4 linked regions of the Mus musculus genome follow. The protein of the gene in region 1 purifies or fractionates together with the protein of each later gene. This does not show direct contact. Links are inferred from orthologs where the notes say so. Each region holds a gene or a part of one and is shown in the gene's direction. Other genes may lie near its edges.

Region 1 (4,540 bases):
AAAGTTTCCATGATCTTTAGCAAATGACACCAAACACCATCCTAGACACATGGCACATAAAATCCAGAGGATGAAAAGGGAGGATGGGAGAGGAGTATTGTGGCGTTGGCTTCGCTGTCCCAAGAATTAGTGCTGAAGGGCTAATGGGGGCTTCCTTATGCCCTCATTCAGAGAGCACTGAACACCAACCGGATTCTGTAGCTAGGACTACAAGAGGCTCATGGACATGTTTGTTCCTGTAGCCTTCACAAAACGATGTATCCCTTGTATTTGAGAGGTTAGCACAGTACCAACCTGGCACTAGCAGAGATGGGAGAGCTTTTGGGATTGTGAGTGGGAAGATTAAAGATGTCTTTGTAGCCTAGTGTGACCTAAAATTCACTGTGTAGCCTTGCCTGACCTGGAACTCACAACTGCATTTCTGCTTCCATATCTGGAGTGCTGGGGCTACAGGAGTGAGCCACTACATGGGGTTCAAGATGGCAGCATTTCCCCTCTTCTTCCCTCTCCTGTAATCACATGGTCTTTCAGTTTTAGACCAGTTTGAATCATGTCTGATTTGAGCAACCAAGTGAGAAACCTTGTCTCCGAAACTGGAGAGCTAGCTCTGAGGTCACTGACTGCTCTACAGTGAGCCTGGCTTGGACTCCCAGCACACACATGGCAACTACCAGTTCCAGGGGTGCCCATAGCCTTTTCTAGCTTTTGTGGGTACTGCATGCACCTCCATGAAGGCAAAACACCTATACACATTAAGTAAAAATAAATCAACTCTACCCGCACCTAGACAGTGATCTAGGAGCTCAGAGCCAAGGCTACATAGTAAGACCCTGTCTCAAAACAAAAACTACCTTTCTTTGGACAGTGATATACTTTTAAAATCATACAAAATTGACTAAAGGAAGTATAATTTTTATAGAAAATGTTTTAATTGCTTTTATGTATAATGTATTTATAACCCCCTACAGCTAAGCTGTCAACATTGTGATTATAAATAACTGTTTCCATAAGTAAAGAATCCTTCTCTCCTTTCTGTCCAGATTGAAAAGGCCAAGCCCATTAAATGTGGAACATTTGGTGCCGCATCTCTGCAGCAGAGATTCTTAGCTACTGGAGATTTTGGTGGAAATCTTCATATATGGTGAGATTATTAAATAGTACTGCAATGGATAAGCACTCCCTTTGATGGGCTTATTAGTCTTCTAAAAGAGAATTCTAATTTTAAAATACTTACTTCAAATATTTTAATTAAAAGTAACCGAAGCCATGAGGACTGTGTTATATCTCTGTCATATTTAAAGTCCACTTAAAATCCTAAGCTTCATATTACATTTAGGAATGTGTATGTATAACATTACATGTAGGTGTACATAGATGCATGTAATAGCAATGAACAAACATGCCGACTGTGAAAGAGTAAGAGGGATCTGTGAAAGGGCTTGGGGGGGGGGGGATACAATTGTATTTGACCTCAAAAGTTAAAGGACAAAGGTTTAAAAAGATGGTTTTTGGTTTAGAACTTGAAACAGTGTTACCGATTCTTACCCCCACACCCCAGGCTGTTTGGGACTGGTAATTGATAGATGCCATTTTAGCAAGAAGTTTGGTTTTATAGAGCGATACACTGATTTTAATTTTTTCCATGCAAAACTCTCAGTTAAAGTTTTGGTTAGTATTTAATACTTTAAGATCTAGACATGACTTTTAGGAAAATGTCTGTTGAACAATACATAAAAGGCGGCTTTGAATAAATAAATCACAGAATTGTCTGATGCCTTTATATAAATCTTACTTAGAATTATTTCTTAATACTTAAAGTTAAATGAATTCAAATTTCTCTTTAATTACTTTTTAGGAAAATCTATTTTCAGCATTTAAAGTATACAGCAGCTTTCTTTCTTTCTTTCTTTCTTTCTTTCTTTCTTTCTTTCATTCTTTCTTTCTTTTTATCTTTCTCTCTCTTTTTCTTCCTTCCTTCCTTCCTTTCTCTCCTTTCTTTCTCTCCTTCCTTCCTTCCTTCCTTCCTTCCTTCCTTCCTTCCTTCCTTCCTTCCTTAGCTTGTTTCTAATATGAGGTGTTTATTTTGGTGACAGGGTTCATGTGTACTCTGGCTGAACTAAAACTCACTATGTATCCCTACATAGACCAGGCGAGCTTGGAACTCACAAGCCGCCACCTGCCTCTGCCTCCTCATGACGAGAGTCAAGGAGTGTGCCACCACACCCCACCTAAGAAGACCTTTCGGTTGTCAATCGAATTGTACTGCTTTATAGTTAAACCATGTTCATATATTTACCTATTTTTAGAAGCATAACATAAAAGTGAAGCTAGTGTAATTTTCCTTTCTCTAACTGCTTAGCTCTTAAGTTCATATTCATCATTTTACATATTTTGTCGTAGAGCTTCAGAGAAATAAAAAGAGAGGCCAGTGTCTTCCTTTCTGTATTTTATTTATTTTTCATTATTTGGGGGGCTTATCATATAGAGTAGTAGATGTTCATCATTTCAGTTATGTATATGCATATATATGTATCAATATGCTTTGATCTTACTCATTTCCCTCTCCTATTTGCCCTCGTACGCCTGCTCCCTGATTGCTGGTTCTCTCTCTGCCGGATCCAGCTACAATTGATTGCTTGTTTGTTTGTTTATTTGTTTGTTTGTGTGTTTGTTTGTTTGTTTTGAGACAGAGTCTCTCTACATAGCCCTGGCTACCCTGGAGCTCACAGTGAAGATCAAGCTGGCCTGTAACTCACAGATCTCTGTTTGCCCCTCCCTCCCAAGTGCTGAGCTTAAAGACATCCCCCATCCCTCAGACTAGATACATCATTTATCCCATTGCTCACTCCATACCTTCTGACCCCCTTTTAAGGTTTTTGTTGTTGTTGTTGAAATTATTTTCACACTTTATTCCATGTGTGTCTCTCTGTGTGTCTGTGTCTGTGTGTGTGTCCATGTCCATGCACAAGTGGAGAGCACATGTCCCTCTGTCTGTCTGTATCTGTGTCTCTGTGTGTACATGGCCATGAACAAGGATTTGAGAGCGAGCAGAAGACAACTTCTGGGACTCTGTTGTCACTTAACGCCTTGTATGATCTGGGAGTCAGTACAGGTTGTCAGGCTTGGTGACAAGTGCCTTTACCTCCCTGGCCAACCTTTCAGGTTTTATGGTGTATATATACATATATACATGCATATTTATACACATGTGTATGTGTGTATAATCTTAAATTTATTTTCCATGCATAAGAGGAAACATGACTCCTTTTTTCCCCTGTTCTGGCTTATTTGCTTAATATAACAATTACCCGATATCCGCAGCAGGTCTCCAAGGTGAACAGCCTCTGGCATGTTGGAACAATCAGGAGGTGTCAGAAAAGTTACCACAGGGATAACTGGCTTGTGGCAGCCAAGCGTTCATAGCCACGTCACTTTATCATCCTTCAATGTCGGCTCTTCCTATCATGGTGAAGCAGAATTCACCAGGCGTTGGATTGTTCACCCACTAATAGGGAACGTGAGCTGGGTTTAGATCATCGTGAGACAGGTCACCGGGTGGAGGTAGCGCAGGCCTGTAAACCCAGCACTCCGGAGGCAGAGGCAGGTGGACTTCTGAATTTGAGGCCAGCCTGGTCTACAGATTTTGTATTTTTTTTCCATGTGGTTGCTGGGATTTGAACTCAGGACCTTCGGAAGAGCAATCGGTGCTCTTAACCACTAAGCCATCTCTCCAGCCCATCTTAAAATTCCCCCTCCCTCTATCCCTCCCTTTTGACCCATTTTCACTCTTCCACCATACACTTAAAATAAAATAAAACAAAATAGAAAAAATAAACAATTCCCACTTCCGTGTGCTTTCGTAGAAATATCATGATTTCATATTTTGTCTTGGCTGAATAACATGTCATTGTCTATAACCTTATCCATTCCTGTCTTGATGGGTCCATTTCCTGTGCTGTTGAGTCCGTTTCAGAGAATCCTTGCCTGTGCTTCTGGCATCCAGGGTATCACGTGTGTTTTCCTCTAGTGTTTTCAGAGCCTCTGTCTTAGGTTAAAGTCGTCCATTTTGCATTGTTTTTTGTTTTTATTGATTTTAGTTTAGTTGGCTTTAAGGCCATGTGATAAGTAGTTATGTATTTTAGTTTAATTGGTTTGAAGGCCATGTGATAAGCAGTTATGTATTTTAAGGCCATGTGATAAGCAGTTATGTATTTTCTGCTTAGGAACTTGGAAGCTCCAGAGATGCCAGTGTATTCTGTAAAGGGCCACAAAGAAATCATAAATACCATAGATGGTGTAGGTGGACTTGGAATTGGGGAAGGAGCCCCTGAAATCGTGACGGGCAGCCGTGATGGTGAGTCAGTCTTAAGTACTGAGCAAATGTTTAATGGAACCTCTGTGTGCTGCCATATCCTCTGCACACAGAATCCTCTGGTTGGCTTGACTCTGTATCTACCATACATCTGCATTTATTTGTGCATCTGCATTATAACAGACAAGTTTTATTGCACATCTCTCATTCAGTTCCAGCTTCTGTGTA
Region 2 (4,540 bases), on another chromosome or scaffold:
CCTGTCTCTGCTTTTTCCAACCAGCTGGAATGTGGTGGTGGTGGTGGTGGGGTTCAACTCTTTCTGGGTCTAATAGTGACAGAATCTTCTGTACTCCTTAGATTTCCACATAGATCCTGACATTTGTTCTGTGGAAGGCAAGAGGCCAGGCCATAACGTTCGGCCACTGCTGTGGTGACTGCTGGTGCCATTGCAGTTATTCACGTTACTAGGAGTTGCAGGGCCTGGGATCTTAATGCTCTAGAAACATTTGCTGGGGAAGAGAGAAGGGTCAGGTCTCGCACTTTACCTAGTGAGTTGTGTCTTTTGTCTTTCCACCTCAGTGAAAGTCATGCCCTTCGCTAATCTCATGAGCCTCCTGGGCCCCTCTGTGGACTCTGTGGCTGTTCTACGTGGCATCCAGAAGGTGGCGATGTTAGTCCAAGGAAACTGGGTGGTAAAGAGGTAAGCTGCTTGGGAGTCTGAATGGAATGCTGTTGGTGTTCTGCCTAGTTGCGTTTTACCTCTTCCAGGACTCTTCCATTTTTTTATACAAATTTGGGAGTTAGTCTCTTAACTCTTTATTGGTTCCCTACAGTTTTGGCATGCTCTGCTGCATGTCAATTGCTTTTTACTTTCTTCCAAGACAGCTCAAAATCTTAGACTATTTTAGCTGTTCACCTCCCACATGTATATTTTAATCGTGTCTATATTTTCAGGCCCACAAGACTTTATGCAGCCAGTGTTCTTAGGCTTACTCACATGTCTGCCTTTTGTATTGTATTTTTATTCCAGTGTACATCTGAATTCCCATCAGGAATCATTTCAATCTTCCCAAAGAGTGCTATAGTATTTAATACAGGTCTGCAGTAATAGCTTTCCTCAGCTTTTAAGTTAGTGATAGTTCTTTCTTCATGCATTGATGTATTTTCTGTGTGTGCGCTTTACATAAATGTATAGGAATATGTGTGTTGAGGCCCAGTGTTGAGGTCAAGTGTCTTTCTTGGTTGCTTTCTCCTTTACGCAGGATTTCTCCCTGAACCTGGAGTTTTCCCCCATCTTCATTAGTTTAGCTGGCCAGTTTGCTGTGGGTATCTAGGGATTACAGGTGGCTGCATGAGTTTTGAGTATATGTCTGTGGGTAGTTGTAGGTGAGTATAGGTGCCCGTGGAGGCCAGAGGAGTCAGGTCCCTCTGGAGTGGGGACTGGGAGACAGACTCGGGTCCTCTGCTAGAGCAGTGCGTGCTCTGGACTGCTGAGCTGTCCTACTGTGGTCCTCACCCTTGGGCAGCAAGTGCTTCATCCTGTGAGCTGTCTCCCCAGCCGCACTCTGTGTTATGACGTCAGTTGTTACTGAAAGCCCACTGTGAACCTGATCCTTGTGCTTTGATCTTTGTCCTCCTCTGGTTGCTTTGAAGCCTTTCTCTTTGTCCTGGCTTTCCACTGTTATGTTAAGAAGTGGCTACGCAGGCAGAGGCAGGCGGATTTCTGAGTTCGAGGCCAGCCTGGTCTACAGGGTGAGTCCCAGGACAGCCAGGGCTACAGAGTGAGTCCCAGGACAGGCAAGGCTACACAGAGAAACAAACAAACAAACAAACAAACAAAAGAAGTGTCTATGTTTGGTTTGCTTTTTATGTTGCCTGTGGGGTTCAGGTCATGATTTTGTGGCTTAGTTTCAGCAGCCTCCTTTCTCCTCTGGTTTCCCATCAGATCATCAGTTCTGAGGGAGTAGAGATAGTCTGTGCTATTATTTCCTTACATTCTTAGATCATTGTATAATGCCTGGAACACACTAAACCAACCCCAGGAAATGCATACTTTAATTATAATGAGGTGGTGTTATAGTTAATACATTAACCCCAGGCTTTGAACAGTGTAGTATGAACAATATAAAATGTGAATAGTTCTAAAATTCAAAACATTCATTTCATTAAGCCCTTCATTTGATTGCCAACCTGATGGTAAAGTGTATTCCTCTTACATGGTGGTGCCATTTACAGGTAAATATATCTTGCTGTTGGATTATCCAGTTTTCTGTATGGAAGAATTTTGTCATGGCACATTGCTTGTTAAATGTGAGGGTGAATACTACTTGTATTTACACTGTAAAACCAGGAAGGGCTGTTGCATCACACACTCCTGAAGACACTAACCAAAAGAGGCCCAGGACTTGTGTATATCTCCCAAGGCACCTACAGAGCCGTGTTTGAGCTCGGAGACTCAGCCTGGCTTCTGCCTGTGCTGTTTTTGTCGTGGGAGGCCTAGCTATTGAAGTATGGCTTATCAGCTTGGGTGTCCTGCATATTGCAAGGATTTCTGTAAGCCTTTTCTTGGGTGTTGAGGCTACTGGGTGTGAGTCATAATCTTTCCAGCCAGATCTATCTTTGTGTTTAAACTCAGCTTGATTCAAATGTCTTACTTAAATGTTCTGTGCTGTGTGTGCCACCATTGAATGTTCTCGCTGTCCTTAAAGTATAGGGGCCCACAACATGTGTCTGTCTAGGTTTAGTTGACAATGGGCTCTTTCTCCATGTGACAGCCAAGAACACTTTGCCAGGTCTATACCCATGGAGTTTAACCTTGGAGTATGAGTTGCTCAGGACTGGCAGGTATGAAGGGAAGATCTCCAGCAGAGGAGCCGTTAAAAGCTGACCCTGGGGCTGTGGCTGGAGGAAGTGTGAGAGTCACATAGTAGGGACTGTCTGTTCGTGTGCCTCCAGGCCTCTACGCTGAGGACCTCTGGGCCCCAGGCACAGTCTTTATTCTTTGATGTTCTAGGGGAGTCAGGTCCAGCCTCTGACAGCTGACACATATCCACTTAGGCAGGCAGGAGAGGCCTTTTAACTGGCTTTAGCACTCGTTTCTCTTACAGCCACAAACATGTGACTTGTGAGGTCAGTCTTCTCAAGAGTCCTGGGCTCCTTGAGGTTCCAGGCTTGTGTGTGTGTCTGTGAGCCCCTAACTCCCCCCTGGGGTCAGGCCAGTCTGTGATGTGTTTGTTGGGAAGGGCTTGCTCTTTCCCATGACTTCCTGGGCCTGCAGACTCAGGCCTGTTGCTATGAAAGGATGCGACCTGGATTGGCTCAGACTGTAAGCCCTGGGCTTCTAAAGTAGGATGTGGGGGTGGTGGGACCATAGACAGGGACTGACCAGCTACGTCTGCTTGTTTGCCAGTGACATCCTGTATCCCAAGGATTCTTCCAGCCCTCACAGTGGCATGCCTGCTGAGGTGCTCTGCAGGGGCCGAGACTTTGTTGTGAGTATCTAGGCTCTGGCCACAGGGTCCAGGGTGGAGGGAGAGAATCCAAAGCAGGCAGTGAGCTCCAGCAGGGAGCTCACTGTGGGACTCCAGCTGGTGCTCTTTTGTCCTCTGGTCATTCTGGGCTGATGAAGACCCTGCTGGCTCAATCTGTGTGTGGGGTTCATGTGGTTAAGTGGTGTATTACAAAGCTCACCTTGGCTGCAGACTTAAGTTGGGTTTTCAGATGTCATGAGTGATTGACAGTCTGATAGCATTGGGTCCAGAGCCCTGCCCAGCCCCTGCTTTGGATGGCTGGCACCAATAGTTTCATATCACTATAGTCTGGCACTTATTCCTTGCTACTTTTCTGGGGTTTATGACTTCTGAGTTAATTCATCCTTCCTTTCTCTCACCCTGCCCTGTTTTATATCCAGAACTTAAGTCCCTCCCAGGGTCTTTAAGCTCAAGTCTCTGGAATCTGTACTACCCTCTAACCCTTGGCATTTACACATTGAATTTGCTGAAATGTGGCTGCTTAGAGCTGTTCATGTGGGCCCTTGTGCCCTGCACAGGCTTGTCCTGAAGGGAAGCAGTCCTTAGATTGTTTGAGGACAGCTGTGTTTGCTCTTCTGACTAGGTATTCTTAGCTTTTGGGGACGTCTGTGTTGAGGGGCCTCCGGAGTCTGACTTGGGGCATAGGAGTGCAGCTCCCAGCCGGCCTCATTCACTCATGCCAAGTGCCCTTTGGCTTTGGCTGCTTTTCTAGTGTTCGCATACCGTTGGGTTGGAGCCCGCAAGTGTATACGAAGTGTTACTATAGACAACAAGTAGCCATCCTTTCCTCTTGGCTCTCAGTGAATACTGAGAATACTTCCCCTCTCGAGAGTATTCCTGTGAGGTAGGTCAGGGACATGACAGCTGATGAGGCAGCGAGAGCTGTGGGAGCTGGAGCCTCTGGGAAGCCATGCCAACTACCAGTTGCTGCCACAGTGGAATGTCTCCATGCATAGGGCAGCATCTTGGTGCTGAATTCTCACGATGCTCTCAGGAGGCCCTGGGGATGCAAGAATGAACCAGATGGCCAAGGCCTCGTCCACTGAATACTTTGTTTTGGATTGAATGAGGCAGCCCAGCCTTCTTGGAGGAGAGAACACATCTGTAACATCTGTAAAGGCTGAAGGTGTCTCAGGTGTAGAGGCTACCCAAGGCACATACTAAGAAGAGTGGGGCAGAAGCTGCCCAGGCTCTGAGCTTCGCCTGTGCCTTTGCCTAGGCCTCTCTCAGGCCTGTTGCTGCCTCCTAGAATATGATGCCTTTCTT
Region 3 (5,149 bases), on another chromosome or scaffold:
GAGACGTAAGAGCTGAGCAAGGTGCCTGCATTATCTTTGTACCTTCAGCCTTGAAGGTGGCTGAGCTGGCTTAGGCATCACTACTTTGACACTCCAGAAGTAATATGCCCATGTGCAGAGGCAAAGTGGAGTGTGACCCAGCATGCGAAGGGCCCCAGAGCCTTCCAGGACCTGACATCATCGTCTTCGCTTGATTCCTGTGACACTTCCATCACCCAGTGGTGCTTCAGCACTCAGATACCAATGGACAGGATGGCTCATGCCTGTGGCTCCAACGCTTGGGAGACTGAGTCTGTATTAGTTACTGTTCTTGTTGTTGTGTCTGAAAACTGAACAGAAGTCCTGGTGCTGCTGGCTTACGCCTTTAATGCCAGCACTCTTGGAGATGGAGGCAGGCAGCTTTCTGAGTTCGATGCCAGCTTGATCTACAGAGCAAGTTTCAGGACTGCCAGGGTTGCACAGAGAAACACTTGTCTTGAAAAACAAACAAAACCAAGACAACAACAACCAGAAGCAGCCAGGCGTGGTGGTCCATGCCTTTAATCCCAGCACTCGGGAGGCAGAGGCAGTCGGATTTCTGAGTTTGAGGCCAGCCTGGTCTACAAAGTGAGCTCCAGGACAGCCAGGGCTACACAGAGAAACCCTGTCTCGAACCCCCCCCCCAAAAAAAAAAAACAAAAAAACAACCAACCAGAAGCATCTTAAGGAAGGGTATACAATGCAGATGTCATAGCAACAGGATTCCCAGGCAGCCAAGCACACTGCATCTGCGCCAGGAAGCTGTAGTCTGACTCCTGAGCCTCTAGGATGATGCCATACACGTCTGTCTTCCTCAGTCAAATCTGTCTAGAATCCCAAAGACAACCAAACGTTCTTTATTATGGTTATGATTATTATTCTCTATTGTGAGTGCACACATGTGTAAATGCATACCGTGAAGGGAGGTCGGAGAAGTCTGTTCTCTACCACCACGTGGGTTCTGGGGACTGAATTTAGGTAATCAGATTTGGTCACACTCCCCCTTGCCCACTGGGCTGTCTTGCTGGCCCCTCCTAGGGGTTTGTTTCTAGGATGATTCTAAATTTCATCCGGTTGACAAGATGAGCCATCAGGGAGGCTGGAGAAATGGCTCAGCAGTTAAGGGTCTTACTGCTCCTGCAGGGGACTGGAGTTCGGTTCCCAGCACCCACTGGGGCAGGGGGGGCTCACAACCACCTGTAACTCCAGCTCCAGGTGACCCAACCCTCTTCTGGTCTCCAAAGGCACCTGCATATACGTGCCCATACAAGATATGCAAATAAAAATCTTTAAAAATAGGAAAAATAAAAGATTGCTACAGAGACCGCTGAAAAATGGCGAGGTGCAAAGCTTTCATCGTGTTTTTAGTTACCTGTGTGCTCAAGAGAAGATGCGCTGGTACCCCAAGCTCCTCCCCAACCTTTACATCCCTTCTTGCTCCACTGGTCCTCATCTAGAAGGCCTCATAAGTCCGCCAGTGTCGGCCCACCCGGGGGTCCTGCAGCAGCAGCCCACTTAGACTCTTAGTCCCATTCAGTCGGTACCGGGGAGCCAGCTACAGGTGGCTCAACTCCGGGCGCGGGAGCACGCGCCAAAACACTCAGCATGGACGCCTCGAACAAGGGTTCTAAACTGACGCATGCGCACGGCTCGCCCTCAGCCTTGCCTGCGCCTGCATTAGGTCATCCGAGCCGCTAGGGGGCGGGGGCCAGGTGCTTACACTGATTGGCTGCGGCTGAGAAATCCGGAAGTGGTCGCGCTTCGGGGCTCTGTTGGCGGAAGGAGACTGTGGGTTGGTGTCGGGGAGCGAGAGCGCGGCGCTAGGATGAACGCTCCTCCGGCCTTCGAGTCGTTCTTGCTCTTCGAGGGCGAGAAGAAGTAAGTGGAGGCCGGCGGAGGCGGGGACGGTTGCATAGGAGCCTGCCGGCCGTCAGCTCCGCTGGAGCGCCGCACTGCTCCTGTCTGGGGAAACCGAGGCGGGAGGCGGGCTTTGCTTTGAGTCTTCCGTGCTGCTCAATGCGAGTCTGCCCAGCTTCAGGCAGCGGCGCGAAGCACTGGCGCGTGCATGCATTTTGCAGTGGGAAATCGGAGGCTCTGGGACATGGAGTGTCTTGCTCCAGACACTTGGTTCATGATGACAGCTGTGAAGGGACAGAGACACAGCTCTCTTACACTCCTCAGCAACCTGAGGGTTTCTCCTAGATTTTCAGGGATCCCGACTTAGGCCAAACCCGGGTTCGTGGCTCCACGCTAAAAAGAATTTCAGGACTCTTCGGTTTAGTGAAGCAGGATTGGTGGGTTTTTAATTAAAGATACTTTAATATGGGCTTAAGCAGGAGGGTTCAGAGGAAGAGAGCGCTAAGAAAGTAAGACAGACGCAAGTTGGGTCTGTGTGCATTCAGAGAGCAGGGGGAAGTACTTTGCACTCGAGTGGCTACAGGTTTAGAGATTAAGCATCTAATTGTCTTTTGGAGGTAGGGTTTCTCTGTGTATCCTCCTTGACTGTCTTGGAACGAGCTTTGCAGACCAGACTAGCCTCAAACTCAGCGATCCACCTGCTTCTACCTGGGATTAACGGCCTGAGCCACCGGCTCTGGCTTTATGTAATTGTCTTAATGGTAGCCAAATACACTCTTTTGATGACTCAAAGTTTGCTACGAACCCTTCTCTCTTGTGTAACCCTTCTCTCGTGTGTGTGCCCCTTCTTGGAAGTCAGCTTAGTCTCTATCTCAGTGGGAAAAAGGTATGGAGGTGTGCTAGGAATCGTTTGTGAACCCCAAAAGATCATTAAGGAGCCGTTTCCATTAGGGTCTCTTTATCACAAGCTCGGGCTTGGGCTCTCCTCCAACCCAACCCTGACACAACAGGACAGGAAGAGAAGGCAGAGCAGCCTTGAACCCAGGACAAGGTTTTCTAGGGAGTGGGAGTGACGGGGTATGGAGCTTGGCAGGTATCTAACTGAATGTCTGTTGTAAGCTGACAGGTGGTGCTGTGAAGGGAGATGAACAATCACAAACTATCTGAAAGTAGATCTGAAGCAACCAGACTAATCTTTGATTAACTGTTGCTAGGGAGTAACTCTGGGGTATGGGCCAAGGGACAAGCCGTGAGGTCCTTCCTGGTACTTGGTTGCATCTTGGGTTCTGCTGTAGGTCAAGTTCTCAGGCTTTTTTTGCGGGGGGGGGGGGGGGTTCAAGACAGGGTTTCTCTGTATAGCCCTGGCTGTCCTGGAACTCACTTTGTAGACCAGGCTGGCCTCAAACCCAGAAATCCGCCTGCCAATGCCTCCAGAGTGCTGGGATTAAAGGCATGCACCACCACGCCCGGCTTTTTTTTTTTTCTTTAAGATGGAGGTAGCAGGTCCCAAGATGGAGTAGATTTGGCCTCTCAGAGGTATACCCCAGTGGTAGATTGCTTACCTAGCATGCACGGGGCTCATTTCATCCCTGTATCAATCAGTCAATAAATAATGAAGTTCTTCAAGATCCTCCGAGTTTGCCAGTACAGTGTACACTGCAGACCTGTAGCCGACACTGCTCATTCCTAAGAGGCAGGGTTTTGTGATTGACATTTGATAGCTACTTCAGCCTTCCTTGGGGGCATATTCTCAACTGAGAGCCCGGTTGTTGTCCCATGAGCAAGAGCATTTGGCCATCTGGAAAAGGTTCTGGTTGTCCCAGGCACGTTGGTATTGGCAGCGGGTGGATAGCAGCAAGGGATGCTGATAACAACCCTTGGTGCAGTAGACAGGCTCCCAGAAAAGGACAATCAGGTCCAAAACATCCATGTTCTGGGCTGGCAACATGGCTTGAGCGCAGGCACCCGCAGGCAAGCCTGATGACTTGAGTTCAGTCCCTGGGACCACTATGGTACCAGGAGAGACCTGACAATTACAGGTTGTCCTCTTATCTCAGACAGGCGTGGACAAAGTAAGAAAATATTTGTGTACCGAGTTTGAAAAAAGGAGCAATCCTTAACTGAGCGGTGGATTTTAATCCACCTTTAATCCCAGCACTTGGGAGGCAGAGGCAGGGGGATCAAGGCCAGCCTGGTCTACAGATCAAGTACGAAGAAATGTAGTCTCAAAAAAAACAAACAAAAACAAGGACTGCTAAGTCCATGCTCCCTGGTATATAAATAGGAGGCCATCACAGGGGAGAGGCGGTTCCTTGTTAGCATTTATTGATTGATTGATTGTCATGCTGAGGACTTGTGTGTAGATCTGAGTTCTGCTTCCAGTGTTTCTCCAGGGGCATGGGAAGTGGAGACAAGCACAGTGTGTCCATTGGCAAATGAGATTCTACCTTAAGCAAAGAGAAAGGCCAGGGTGATGGCTGAGGTGTTTCTCTATCCTCCTGCCTCAGCCTCCCAAATTGCTGGGATTACTGGTCTGAACTACCAGGCAGGCCTACCTTGTTTATTGTTTGGACGGTGGGAGTGGTGGAGATGAGACCCAGAGACTTACACATGGGAGGTTAATGGTTGGCCACTGAACCATGCCAGAGCTCTGAGTCCTTTACTGGTGAGTAGACTGAAAAAGGCCTCCCAGGGCTAGACCTGTAGCTCAGTGGTTGAGGGCTTTGCTTAGCACGCTCAAAACCCAAGGTGCAACTCCAGTAGCCATTGGGGATAGATAGTAGGGCTTGCAGAATGATAGACCTGGGCCTACCTTGATTGTGAGGGGCCTTGGGGGTTAAGTGTCTCCTGGTCTCTCCCCTGTACCCACTCCAAGACGGGTTTTCTGTGTGGCCCAGGCTGGCCTCAAACTCAAAGATCTACCTGCCTCTGCCTTCTAGATGCTGGGATCAAAGGCGTATGCTACTACAACTAGTTGGTTCATGTCCTGTAAGTAAAAATTTAGTCAAGAGCTAGTTTAGGGAACTGTTCATCAGTGGGGAAGGGCCAGGTACCTTATTTCTGAGGTAGTGGGAACAGCCCAACTGCAGTTTCAAGAATATTTGACCACAGATGGGGACATGGTGACCCCCAGGGCACATGGCTGGCTGAGGGCCAGTATCACGCCCGAGGCTGGATGTGGGCTTGAGCTCTTCCCGCCGTCTCTTCCAGAATCACCATTAACAAGGACACTAAGGTTCCCAACGCCTGCTTGTTCACCATCAACAAAGAAGAC
Region 4 (5,179 bases), on another chromosome or scaffold:
AGGGGACACAGGGGCTGTGACACACCTTTTTCCTTAGTTTCATTTCTGAAACCCTGAGTGAATGGGGAAGGCTGGCTTCTGAGGGAGGGGACACAGGGGCTGTGACACACCTTTTTCCTTAGTAGGGTTACTAGTGTGCTGCTCCATCTTGACAGCAACAGGTCTGGTGCCTGGGAAAGAATAATAGGGTCACATGGTCAAACAACAGTGTCTTCTTTCCTAAGCACTCCCCTGAAAGCCCGAAGTGTAACAGTATATAACAGTGTATACACTATCTCATAGAGGTGTCTGGTTTTAAATGTAAAATTTTTAAGTTTTAATTATGTGAATATGTACATATATGAGTAGATCTCCCTTGAGTGAGAGGTGACTGTGAGCAGCCAGACATCAGTTCAAGGAATTGTGCTGAGGTTCTCTGCAAGAGCAATATACCCTCTAAGCCCACTGAGCCTTCCCTCCAGGCTGCCTCCCTTATGTGGTCCAGGGAGACTGAAGCCACTGAAAATCGCTATCCTCTTGACTCAGCCTCTGGAGTTTATTACAGGGGTGTGCTACCACACCAAACAAACAACTGTTCTGAAATTGTTAATTTTTCTCCAATTCCCTTCGGCAGTTTTTGTTAGTGCCTTTTCACTGCAGAAGACAAAGCATACCAAATACGAACTTTAAATCTATCACAAACATGTCATGACTCTTTGAGACTTCTGTTTAATTACTAGCCTTATTTTTTTTGTTGTTTTGTTTTGTCTTTTTCCTATATGGGGTGATCTGGCAAGAGGCTTGTCTCCAGTTTGAGATCAGCCTGGTCTTTACGACGAGTTTTAGGCCAGCCTTAGAACTCTGGTAAAGATAATACGGTAATTAAAAAAACAAAAACTCTAGTTTCTTTTGTCACTAACCAGTGACCAGGCTGGGGGGGAGGGGGCGAAGAAGACTCATAATACTGCAAGAAACACGACTTAGGATATTCGGGGGAAATGTGAGCGATCCTCCTTTATGTCTTTTTGCCTTAGACTCAACGTATTTTTCTAAGAAGTAAGACATTAGGACAGGAGAGATAGCTCAACAGTTAAGAGCAATAGATGGTCCCGCAGACAGGGTTACTTCCTAGCACCCACGTGGCGGTTCACAATCAATTCCAGTTCCAGAGGATCAGACTCCCGCTTGATCGCCTCTCACAAGTGGTGCACCTACATACGCACAGGCAAAACAACCATACACATAAAATAAAAAATAGGTACATCTAAAGAACAAGAATTTTCCTTCCTTTTCTTTAAAAAAGAAAACCAGCGCGTCTAGAGCAGTAAACCACAACTCCCAGCATGCTCCGGGGAGGCGGGGAGCCGAGTCGTTGCCTCCCCGCCCCGTAGGACAACTTCCACTTTTACACTGCCTCAATCTCTCGGGCCACGACGGGTATTTCTGGCTCCTCTACTCCTCCCTACCGCTAAGGCTGAAATAAAAAGTAGAGAACTATCATGCCTTCCTTGGCCTTCACGGTCGGACGAGAACCGATGGACAAAACAGAGCTTCATGATCTTACCTACAGCATTAATCCAAAGCCTCCACCCCAGCACCCACCCTCTAGTGGGTACTCATGCGCTGTAGCGAGCCAGCTAACTGCCCGTGCTTTGGCGCTTGCGCAGACATTCTGGCCGCACGCGGCCGGGAGCGGCCACGCCAGTGCGCAAGCGCTTGCGTCTCCCAGTCCCCTACATCATGCCCTCTCTATCTAACTTGCCTTGCCTTTCTTGCGTAGAGGGCGGGGCTAATACTGTCGATTGGCCTATGTTTTTGTCAATCAATAAAATGAGTTTGGTGATTGGCGGCACTTCAGAGGTTAGCAGGTTTCTGTGTCATTCCTGAGGAGGCAGCGTTTTCTTCGCTGCTCTTCTCTCCAGAAGGTTCTGCCGATTCCCCCCAGCTCTGGAGAGTCGGCTCTGCGTCGTGCCGCCATGATGGGCCACCGTCCAGTGCTCGTGCTCAGTGAGTTCAGGGAAGGGATGTCTCTCTCCGCCCCTCTCTCCCCAAGCTGGCCAGTGTTGCCCAGCTCCGTCCCGCCATGACTCGGCCCTCGTGCCTTCCAGTGGTCTTTTCGCCTTGGACCAAGCTCCTTCCCCACTTTTCTTCTCTTGCCTCTCCTGTCGCCTTCTTTTGACAAAATGACTTTCCGCTCTCGGAGTCGCTAGTCTTTACGTGTGCTTCATCCTATTCGCGTTCGGTTCTTTAGTCGCCACCCTCCACGCCCCCGTGTCCTTTACAGCATGATTTCCGTGTAGATAGTAATGATGGTTCTTAACGGTAGGCCTTGCTTCCTATGCTCGGTCCATCCCTCCGTAGAGGCGTGACTTAACGGCAACTCGCTTGATTGATACTTTAGCATCAGTATTTAGGAGGCTGTAGTAGAGTTGTTAAGTTGATAAGTAAAAGCTGCCTTTACCGGCAGATCGAATCGGAAGTGGCATCTTTTCAGTAGCGGTCATTCAGCAACCCTTGTTCGGAAATGACATTCCTGGCGTTCCCGATCTTGGATGTGATCTTTCCCACCAGCCAGTTCTCCCAAATTCCTTTCCTGGTTTTCTTTCCTCTTTAGGGAACGCCACTCATCTCAGTAAAGAGCACCAGTTCCTTGTCAGTTACCTGAGCTATTGAGAATAACTCAGTAAGCCTGGGTCAAAGTTAAACATAGTAAAGAGAAAAACAGATTTAGTCTGGCCACACTGGGAGGAGAGACAAAGGTGTTCAGTGACACTACCTCTCCTACACACTCGTAGACGAGTCCATGAGGTTTTAAGCAGCAGGCCAGATTTGTAAGAAGTCATTATTTTCTGCTCTAGTCTCCTGAGAGAAGTTTACCTACAGGGTGGCTCTCAGGCTTTAGTCTTTTTCCTGTTCTATCGTGAGATTCCTTGGCTTGTGATTGATATTTTGTTTGTTTTCGTCTGTGTATGGCACCAAGATTCCCTGGAATTGGAGTTACAGGCAGTTGTGAGCCACCTTGAGGGGCTGGGAATTGAAGCTGAACCATCTTTCCAGCCTCACAAGCAGACTTTCTTGGTCACTAATCTTTGAGACTCTGTGGCTCCTCTTCCCGGGGATGTTGTAAGGGGTGTGCAGTCTTGTGAAAAATCACTGTCCTACTGAGGCCCATTCAGGGCACTCAAGATATGAATCACTGGAAATATGTAAGCATGCATACAAGGAAAGTACTGGTCAAGACTATGAAGTTGAAGCATTTCAGGTTATCTCTTATTATACCGGGGGTTCTCTCATTATCTGTGTTTTTTGCCTGCCTCTATGTCTGTGCCTGCAGACACCAGAAAAGGACATCAGATCCCCTGGAACTGTAGTTAGAGATGATTGTGAGCTACCATGTTGGTGCTGGAAATGAATGCAGAGATCTCTGCAAGAGCTTCCAAAGGTTTTAACTACCAGGCCATCTCACTTCGTAACTGGCTAGCCTGGAACTAACTCACTTTATAAACCAAGTTGGTTGGTGTTCAAGTCACAGAAATCCATCTGCATCAGTGCTCGGATTAAAGGCATATGCTACCACGCTCAACCTTAAACAGTTGTAATTGACTGCTGGTTATACACTGAAAACTTTGTATTTATTTTTATTTTCAAAACTTGATGAATAGGGTTGGTGGTAGGATGGCTCAACAGGTTTAAAAAAAAAAAAAAAGCTCCTGACACTAAGCCTAATAATAACTGGAGGTCTTTTTGTTGTTGCTATTTTTGTTTGTTTGTTTGTTTGTTTGTTTGTTTCATTTGAGGCAGGTTCTCTATATATATGCCAAGTCACAGAGATACTCCTGACTCTGCCGTAAGTGCTGGGGTCAAAGGCATGCACCACCCTACCTGACTTGGATGACCAAGTTTGATCCCTGGCACCCATGTGATAGAAAGAAAATTAACTCTGAAAGTTGTTTTCTGACCTCACAGTTTTGCCAAGCATTTGTACACCTGATATATACATTAAAATGTAGCATTTTTTTTAAGTTAGGAAATAAAATGATTGTGTACACTGGGCTGTTGACATGTGTTTTTGTCTGTTTTAGGTCAGAACACAAAGCGTGAATCTGGAAGAAAAGTTCAGTCTGGAAATATCAATGCTGCAAAGGTAGTGCATGTTTTATGAGATAACAGCAGTTTGTTCTGGCTGACTCTCCTAATACTTCCTTATTGGTAGTAGCAAACTTCCTATGGTTCTGTACTTCATACAATGAGCAGAGGAAAACTTGCTTTTTTTTTCCAAGGCATTTCCCTGGTGGTGATACAGGAAGGGAGGTTTTTAAAAGATTTGCTTGTTTTACTTTACTGTTGGAGTGTTTTGCCTCCATGCATGTATGTATGTGTGTACATGGCATGGAAGCATAGAGGAGGTGGTCAGATCCCCCTGAAACCGGAGCTACAGGCCATTGTGAAAGTTCCCGTATCAGTGCTAGGACTTTAATCTAGGTCCTCTGAAAGAGCCCTGTCCCCTCTTGTTTGGGTAGCCTAGAATTTACTGCGTATAGTAGGTTGTCCTTGAACTCATGGATCTACTTGCCTCTGTCTCCCAAATCCTGGGGCTAAAATCATGTGCCACCACTCTGAGCTCAGTAAGTATATTTTTGAGTGAATGATTAGAAGTCTTGATTTCATGTGGACCAGAGGCCACTGTCAATAAAAGTATTAATGCTGAACTCTTAGGACACTAAAACTGAAATAGCTTCTGAAAATTTATTTGTTGTGTCTAAAATAGTTACCATTCTCGTCGTTAAGTGCCATTGTTAAACAGTGGCACTGGCTGGAGAGATGGCTGAATAGTTAAGAACACTTGCTACTCTTTTTTGTTTGTTTGTTTGTTTGTTTGTTTGTTTTTTTCAAGACAGGATTTCTCTGTGTGGCTCTGGCTGTCCTGGAACTCAGTCTGTAAAACAGGCTGGCCTCGAACTCAGAAATAAGCCTGCCTCTGCCTCCCGAGTGCTGGGATTAAAGGCATGCACCACCACACTATTAGACATACTGGAAGAGGGCATCAGATCCCATAACAGATGGTTGTGAGCCACCATGTGGTTGATGAGAATTGAACTCAGGACCTCTGGAAGAGCAGTCAGTGCTCTTAACCACTGAGCCATCTCTTGAGCCCCAAGTATTTGCTACTCTTGCAGAAGACGTAGATTTGATTCCCCGA

What was found.
Region 2: the proteins of Wdr92 (region 1) and Polr3e purify together in Homo sapiens (affinity purification with mass spectrometry; 3 studies listed by BioGRID and IntAct, with this or other methods). This does not show direct contact. The link is inferred for Mus musculus from reciprocal best matches to the Homo sapiens genes DNAAF10 and POLR3E.
Region 3: the proteins of Wdr92 (region 1) and Polr2j purify together in Homo sapiens (affinity purification with mass spectrometry; 3 studies listed by BioGRID and IntAct, with this or other methods). This does not show direct contact. The link is inferred for Mus musculus from reciprocal best matches to the Homo sapiens genes DNAAF10 and POLR2J.
Region 4: the proteins of Wdr92 (region 1) and Cct3 purify together in Homo sapiens (affinity purification with mass spectrometry; 3 studies listed by BioGRID and IntAct, counting the BioPlex papers as one, with this or other methods). This does not show direct contact. The link is inferred for Mus musculus from reciprocal best matches to the Homo sapiens genes DNAAF10 and CCT3.

Annotation. Positions count from the first base shown.
Region 1 is NC_000077.6:17,217,974-17,222,513, forward strand, and holds part of Wdr92 (WD repeat-containing protein 92), read left to right. Parts: intron 1-1,040; coding exon 1,041-1,141; intron 1,142-4,223; coding exon 4,224-4,354; intron 4,355-4,540. UniProt on the Homo sapiens protein: Key assembly factor specifically required for the stability of axonemal dynein heavy chains in cytoplasm.
Region 2 is NC_000073.6:120,934,450-120,938,989, forward strand, and holds part of Polr3e (DNA-directed RNA polymerase III subunit RPC5), read left to right. Parts: intron 1-323; coding exon 324-444; intron 445-3,153; coding exon 3,154-3,235; intron 3,236-4,230; coding exon of another isoform or gene 4,231-4,320; exon of another isoform or gene 4,321-4,531; intron 4,532-4,540. UniProt on the Homo sapiens protein: DNA-dependent RNA polymerase catalyzes the transcription of DNA into RNA using the four ribonucleoside triphosphates as substrates.
Region 3 is NC_000071.6:136,114,910-136,120,058, forward strand, and holds the start of Polr2j (DNA-directed RNA polymerase II subunit RPB11), read left to right. Parts: upstream 1-1,781; 5' UTR 1,782-1,843; coding exon 1,844-1,896; intron 1,897-5,085; coding exon 5,086-5,149. UniProt on the Homo sapiens protein: Core component of RNA polymerase II (Pol II), a DNA-dependent RNA polymerase which synthesizes mRNA precursors and many functional non-coding RNAs using the four ribonucleoside triphosphates as substrates.
Region 4 is NC_000069.6:88,295,281-88,300,459, forward strand, and holds the start of Cct3 (T-complex protein 1 subunit gamma), read left to right. Parts: upstream 1-1,854; 5' UTR 1,855-1,955; coding exon 1,956-1,986; intron 1,987-4,061; coding exon 4,062-4,123; intron 4,124-5,179. Other genes in the region: Tsacc (TSSK6-activating co-chaperone protein), read right to left, coding at 111-147. UniProt on the Homo sapiens protein: Component of the chaperonin-containing T-complex (TRiC), a molecular chaperone complex that assists the folding of actin, tubulin and other proteins upon ATP hydrolysis.